Regions from separate parts of the Mus musculus genome. Here region 1 is reported to be linked to region 2. The links are microRNA targets in miRTarBase. Many come from high-throughput screens and were not tested one by one. Region 2 holds a microRNA gene; the other region holds the end of a gene's coding sequence.

Evidence for each region. The annotated mature microRNA mmu-miR-3079-5p reads UUUGAUCUGAUGAGCUAAGCUGG and lies in region 2 at 1,104-1,126, opposite strand. An mRNA with a match to its seed (bases 2 to 7 or 8) in the 3' UTR can be bound and repressed. Matches are read on the target gene's strand: a 7mer-m8 pairs with bases 2 to 8, a 7mer-A1 pairs with bases 2 to 7 and ends in A, and an 8mer does both.
Region 1: the mRNA of Ints6l is a reported target of mmu-miR-3079-5p. Seed matches in the 3' UTR shown: 7mer-A1 at 1,219-1,225.

The regions. Positions count from the first base shown.
Region 1 is chrX:56,506,560-56,509,965 of GRCm38, forward strand. It overlaps Ints6l (integrator complex subunit 6 like), which reads left to right. Exons shown (of 17, transcript NM_172779.4): 17 at 321-1,284. The coding sequence ends at 429. Among named protein-coding and RNA genes, the nearest start is that of Gm648, 41 kb to the right of the region's middle.
Region 2 is chr15:76,289,829-76,293,234 of GRCm38, forward strand. It overlaps Mir3079 (microRNA 3079), which reads right to left and starts at 1,140; the gene lies at 1,051-1,140. Spatc1 (spermatogenesis and centriole associated 1) reads left to right here. Exons shown (of 5, transcript NM_028852.1): 5 at 2,336-2,744. The coding sequence ends at 2,665.

The sequences.
Region 1 (3,406 bases), not on the chromosome of region 2:
AGTCTCTCTCTCTCTCTCTCTCTCTCTCTCTCTCTCTCTCTCTCTCTCTCTCTCTCTCTCTCTCTTTCTCTCTTTGAAAGCACTTGTTCTACTCATAGGTAAGGGTGCTTCCTGCAGTGTTCTGATGGATGCTACCAGAGTCCTGACTCATGGGTTCTAGCTAATGTGTATGTGCGCTCATCAGATTGGCATGTCCCCTTGCTCAGCCCTGCTCTTTCCATGAGGATGACTTCTGCTCCCTTTGGCCTGCAGGCTACATAACACCTGGCACTCTGTAAAGTTGTCTATGACACTTATGCTTACTCTCTTTTTCTCTTCAGGTTTAAAAGAAGAGTCTTAATTCAGTACCTTGAGAAGGTACTAGAAAAAATCGATTCCCACCACCTTCTTAACAATGTGAATCACATCAACAGCAGATCATCATGTTAATGCCAAGCCAAGTGAGGAAAAAGAACACCTTTTATGTGCTTTCAAATGCAATGGGACGTTACTGAAGCCCTATAGTATGTTTGAGTGACAGAGCGACCTAACTCAGGCTATGAGAAAGGAGTTGACTTGAGCTTTTAACGATTATCTGGAAGTAAAATCTGGGCTTTTGCCTTAAGAATTATTGAGAATATTTTTTTCATTTCGTTGTTTATTTTTTCCAATTAGGAAAAGAGATGCTGAATCACAGAGCACTGCTGCTCCTACTACAGCTAGTAGAGTTCACTCATTTTGGACCTTGCCATTCCAGGCGGTTTCAGAGTGAATAGGGACTGGCCACTTCCAAGGCGAGCACTACCTACTGTCCTCATTGTGTGCTAAAGAACACGAAAGCAGAGAGAGTCCACGTGGTGATCTTGTGCTCAAAGAACTCTTCAAAGATTTCTAGCTGTGCCTTTTAAACCATGCAATATTCAGGATCGTTGGAATCAAAGAGTAAAAAGCTGCTATTTCGGTAACTTAATTCTCTCTGGGAAAGGGCAGGGGGAGTCAGCAAACAATCTACCTCGAGTGCTCTTCCACTTTGACTAGGACCATTACAAAGTGTATCTGAGGCTGCACTAACCTCTGACATCTGTTCTTGCATGTGACAACAGAAAGCTTTCAGGTGGACTTGTACATTTTTGTGCTTTGGAAGCACCAAAAGGAAAAATAATATGTATATTTTCTTTGAAGTTTATACAGAAGTTTATATGGAGCAGTATTGTTGTTTTTATTTGTAAAAATGTAAGTGATCAAAGAGATTTTCACTTTGCATATATGAAATAAAATCATTTTATTGATTTTTTCAAAACTACATTTCTAGGTGTATGTCTCTTGTGTATATCCTTTCAGAAACAAACAAACTTCACACTATCAAACAAATGAACACGCTAACAAAAAGACCCATAAGACAGCTTAGCAAGTACAGGCCCTTGCCACCTAAGTTTGATCCCTGGGCTGCCCATGGTGAAAGGAGAGAACCAACTCCCAGAAGTTGTCTTCTGACTTCTACACACACACACACACACACACACACACACACACACACTGTGATACAAGCACATGTGTGTATATACATAAACAAAAAAAAATTTTTTTTAATGTTAACAAAGTAATTGAACTTAGAAACATAACATGGTGTTATTAGAAGGCTGTGGGGAGGCCAGACCCTTCCAAATACGAGTATCTGGGGAGAGAAAACTGCCAAAATCAAGTTTACTGGGACTCTGAAATTTAGCCAAAAGGTTTGTCTCTGCTTTTGCCCATTGAAAATTTTGTACATGTATTTTGAACATATTCATCACTCCTAAGTCCTCCTATTATTGCCTCTCCACCCACCATATGTTGCCAAACAATTTTGAGGTTTCATTTTTTTTTCTTTACCCATCAAGCCCAGTATGTGTTGCCCAGCTGGTCATGGGAGTGGGGCCTGCCCTGTTATATGGTCAACCACATCATTAAAGAAAACTGCCTTTTCCTCTGCCAGCAACTAGCAAATGCCAGTAGCTTCCCAGCTAGCCATAGAATTCCATGTCTACCTTTGTCCCTTTGTGCTGGCATTTTTGTCTGGTTAGAGCTTGTACAGGTCTTCCGGAGTCTGTCACAATTGCTATTAACTCATATATGTCTGTCCCATTCTGTCTGAGAACAGTTTCTTTGGTATGATCAGCCATATCTAGCTCTCATAGTATTTCATCTGATCCTTTTTTCAAAGATCCCTGAACATTTTGTTCAGGGGTATTAGGACTGAGCACTCCAGTCTCATATTCTTTGCATGTTAATCAGTCGAGTATTTCTCTGTGAAGTGCCATCTATTGAGACATGCTTCTCTGATGAGAGGTGAGAGATGTACTGATCTATATTACATGTTAGCAACGTGATTTGAAGTCATTTTTTACTGTGTCTATCTAACAGAATAACAGTAATTGATTCTTCCCTAAGGCCTCTGGTCTATCTAGCCACAGATTCTTGGCTACTTGAACAATGCTGGGTATGGGTCCAATTCTCATGGAATAGCCTCAGATCCTATCAGAAAGTGATTGACGGCTCCCATACCATGCTCTTATTGCCCCAGTGGGCAAATCTTGCCAAACCAGTTCTTGTAGCTTGCAGGGTTCACACCTAAGTGAGATTGATGATGACTTTTCTTCTCCGGCAACATGCATAGCATCTTCTAGCACTGTGAACACTAGCCAATAGGGGTAAAGCTCCCAGGTGAGTACCAGCTTGATTTTTCCATGTTCTGTTGTGACTAGTGATAGGATCTTACTATCAAGTTCTGGAGGATAACAGTATAGACCATAGTCTATATACTACTTGGAAGTCTATGTCACCCCATTGAGCAACAACTCAAAAAGCGGTAGCTATTGTTTGATAGTTTCCCTCTAGATTGAGAAACTCCATCATGCAGGGAAGCTCTTTAACAGAAGTTAAACAACTCAAACGAGCTTCAGGAAGTCCCCAAAACTGACCAGATTCACTAGGCCCCTCCTTCAAGAGTAAACAGGACTTTTGAGAGTCACTCTCATACAAGACAAGCTGCAAAGAAAACCCTGAGACCAGATCAATTGCCTGGAAAAAGCAGAGGTCAGCTTAGCAGCCTGGAAGACATTTAGTTCTCACCCATGCTGGAATGGGCTTTGGTGATGCAGCTGCTGTTGTCAGTACTTTTCCTGTATGTAACCTCTCACCCATATTCCTGTAAGTAACCACAGTAAAACTCATTGGTTCACCAAGTTGAACTTCAGTGGTACCTGTACTTTGGTCTGTCATGGGATCCCTATCTGGGGTGAATAGATATGTGTGTAGCATCTCCCCAGGGAAAGTCTTGTCACACAACAACAACAACCCATTTCTGGTACTAGAGTTTTGATTTGTTACTGTGGGGTGTTTGGTTGTAGAATTTTTCCCTGACTTAGAGTAACCAAAGTGAATGTGG
Region 2 (3,406 bases):
AACCATTCAACTCAGCCGGGCAGGGGTGGCACACACCTTTAATCCCAGCACTCGGGAGGCAAGGCAGGTGGATTTCTGAGTTCGAGGCCAGCCTGGTCTACAAAGTGAATTCCGGGACAGCCAGGGCTACACAGAGAAACCCTGTCTTGAACTCCCCCCCCCCAAAAAAAACGAAACAAAGCATTAAACTTAGTGCTTCCATGTAGCTCAGCTGATAGAAATGCTTGCCTAGCGATACTACATAAACCAGATGTGGTGCTACATGCCTTCAATCCCAGAACACACACAGTTTTACTGCTGTGAACAGACACCATGACCAAGGCAACTTTTTTTTTATTAGATATTTTCTTCATTTACATTTCAAATGCTATCCCAAAAGTCCCCTATACCCTCCCCTCTGCCCTGCTCCCCTACCCACCCACTCCCATTTCTTGGCCCTGTCGTTCCCCTGTACTGAGGCATATAAAGTTTGCAAGACCAAGGGGCTTCTCTTCCCAATGATGGCTGACTAGGCCATCTTCTGCTACATATGCAGCTAGAGACACGAGCTCCGGGGGTACTGGTTAGTTCATATTGTTGTTCCACTTATAGGGTTGCAGACCCCTTCAGCCCCTTGGGTACTTTCTCTAGCTCCTCCATTGGGGGCCTCCACAGGGAGCATCCACTTCTGTATTTGCCAGGCACTGTCATGGCCTCACAAGAGACAGCTATATCAGGGTACTGTAGCAAAATCTTGCTGGCGTATGCAATAGTGTCTGTGTTTGGTGACTGATTATGGGACGCCCCCCCCCCCAAGGCAACTCTTAATCAGGACAACATTTAATTGGGGTTGGCTTAACAGATTCAGAAGTTCAGTCCATTTTCATCAAGGCAGGAGCACGGCAGCTTCTAGGCGGGCATGGTGCAGGAAGGGGAGCTGAGAGTCCTACAATTTATTCCGAAGGCAAACAGAAGACTGGCTTCTGCTAGGAGGAGGGTCTTAAAGTCCACCCCCACAGTGACTCACTTCCTCCAACAAGGCCACACCACACCTACTCCAACAAAGGCCACACCTAAGCTAAGGACTTTCATCTGATGAGCCTGGAGCCAGGTGAATGGGAACTCCAGCTTAGCTCATCAGATCAAAGTCCTTAGCTTGGCAGAGGTTGTCTGGGAGCACAGTGGGGTCTTCTAGAGAAGGCTTAGGCTGGAGCTCTGTAGTCTCCCCCTCCCCCTCCCCTTCTTCCCCCTTCCTCCTGTTCCTCTTCTTTCTTCTTCTTCCTCCTCCTCTTCTTCCTCCTCCTCCTTCTTCTTCTGGTGCTTGGTGATCCAGGCCCTTGTGAAAAGGTCAGCATTCTACCAGGCCTTAATTCTTTCCTCACCACAGATCACACTGGCTACTTCTTTTTGCAAAAATATACAAAGCAACAAATGCCACAGGCCACCTTCCCTGCATCTATCCGAGGAGCGCACTGGCCTTCTCATTGTGCTCCTCCCTGCCTGACAGATTTGCCTTCTTAGACAAATCATCCAGTGTGCTTGGCTGCAGACAGCAACTGATGTACACAGATAGGGATTTAATATAATAGGGTCCCCAGCTCCAGGAAAGACACAAAATCGCGTTTGCCGTACTGCCCAGAAAAATGTCAACACACCAAGGGACTTTCCCAGTGAATATACCAGGGGCACCAGTCCCAACACAGCAGAGAGATCAGGTGGGTGTCCCCAGTTGAGTACAACTGTCCCTGAAGAGCCAGTGCTATACCCATGGTGCCCCCCAGAGACCTGCCACCTTCTATGTGGAAATACGTCTTCCCACATGGAAGTCCCATCAGCCTGTCAGCATGGGCGTGCTTGGTAGAAATGTCAGTACCTTGACTCCACGGGGGCCTCGGGAAAGGTGATGTTCAGGAAGACCTTCCTGCCCTGTTAGAACGGTGTCTGTTATTCCAGGTTAAGTGCTTTCTATTAGCTCTTGGGAAAGCATGCAAACTCTGGGGTCTGGCAACCTGAGAGTATGAAGAACTCCCTGTGCCCCCATACTGGAAGCCACATAGTCCCACATAGCTGGTGGAAGGAAAAAACAAACAAAACAAAAAAACAGTGGGATGCATGTCTCTAGCAGCTTTGGGGAGCCTCTGGGCCTGCCTGAGTTGGGTTTTTGGGTGCCTTGACCTCAGGCCCAGCCCTCTGGACCTTTCAGGGACCATGGCTTCTCCTCTCTTGGCATCCTCATAGCAATACTTCACAATTTCCTTTCCCCCGGCCTCCCTTGCCCCTGCTCTTCCCGCCTGCCTGTGAGCCAGGGTGGGGTGTGTGTGTGTGGGGGGTCCCTGATGGCCACTCTCCCCAACAGGCCTCCCTAAACCCCAGTAATCACAAGTTGGATGAGGACCTGTGCCAGACGCTCACACAGCGTTACGTGAGCATCATGAACAAGCTGCAGAGCTTAGGCTACAACGGGCGGGTGCACCCGGCACTGACAGAACAGCTGGTCAATGAGTACGGCATCCTGCGCGAGCGGCCTGAGCTGGCGGCATCTGAAGGTGGCTGCTACACGGTGGACTTCTTGCAGCGTGTGCTATTGGAAACCGTGCACCCCAGCAAGCTCACGGACGCCCTCCTGCTGCTCTCCTGCCTCCATCAGCTGTCCCACGATGACGGCAAACCTATGTTCATCTGGTAACACCCGGTGCCCGGCTGGCCCAGGCTCACTTCACCCTGTAGGCCATTGTGCATGGCCATTAAAGTTTCCCACAGACTCTGGTCACTGGGCCCAAGCCACACCTTCCTGCTCCAGTGGGGTGGGGTGGGGGGGCCACATTCACATTACAGCCTCCCTGGAGAGACAGAGCTCTCAGACACTGTCTTTCTAATGGGATTAAATGGAAGGTCCCAAATTCCCTTTTTACTTGGTAATGAAAACAGAAGTTCTGGGAGCGGAGGAAAAAAAAGAGGGAGTAGGATCAGGAACAGGGAAGGGATGATGCAGAAAGAAAGGATACTTCCCTGTTCTTAGCAAAGGGGTAGGGAGCCTCAGGGCCTTGGGGCAGGACAGTAGAGGTAAGAGAGCCAGATGCCACCTCATCCAAACCTGGGCAAGGGAGCCTGGGAGATGGCAGCCCCTTGTGAAGATGCCCAAGGTCTGAGAAAAGGATGGGTTCTGTCTAAGCATGGGGGACCAGAGCTGACCAGAGAATGAAAAACATGGGTTGGGGGGGATAGGGCGAGGGATTGTGGGAGGGGGGACCAGGAGCAGGGGGCATCTATGGGGATGTAAAATGAATAAATAAATGAAAAAAAAGGAACATGGGTTGGAAAAATTGGGGCCCTTGTGGGAGGGGGGTATTGAAATCAATGGGTAGGCTGAGATTGGAAACATCGTGGTGTTTCTAGAAGAGTGGAGACCAAAATGGGGTTGGTTCAT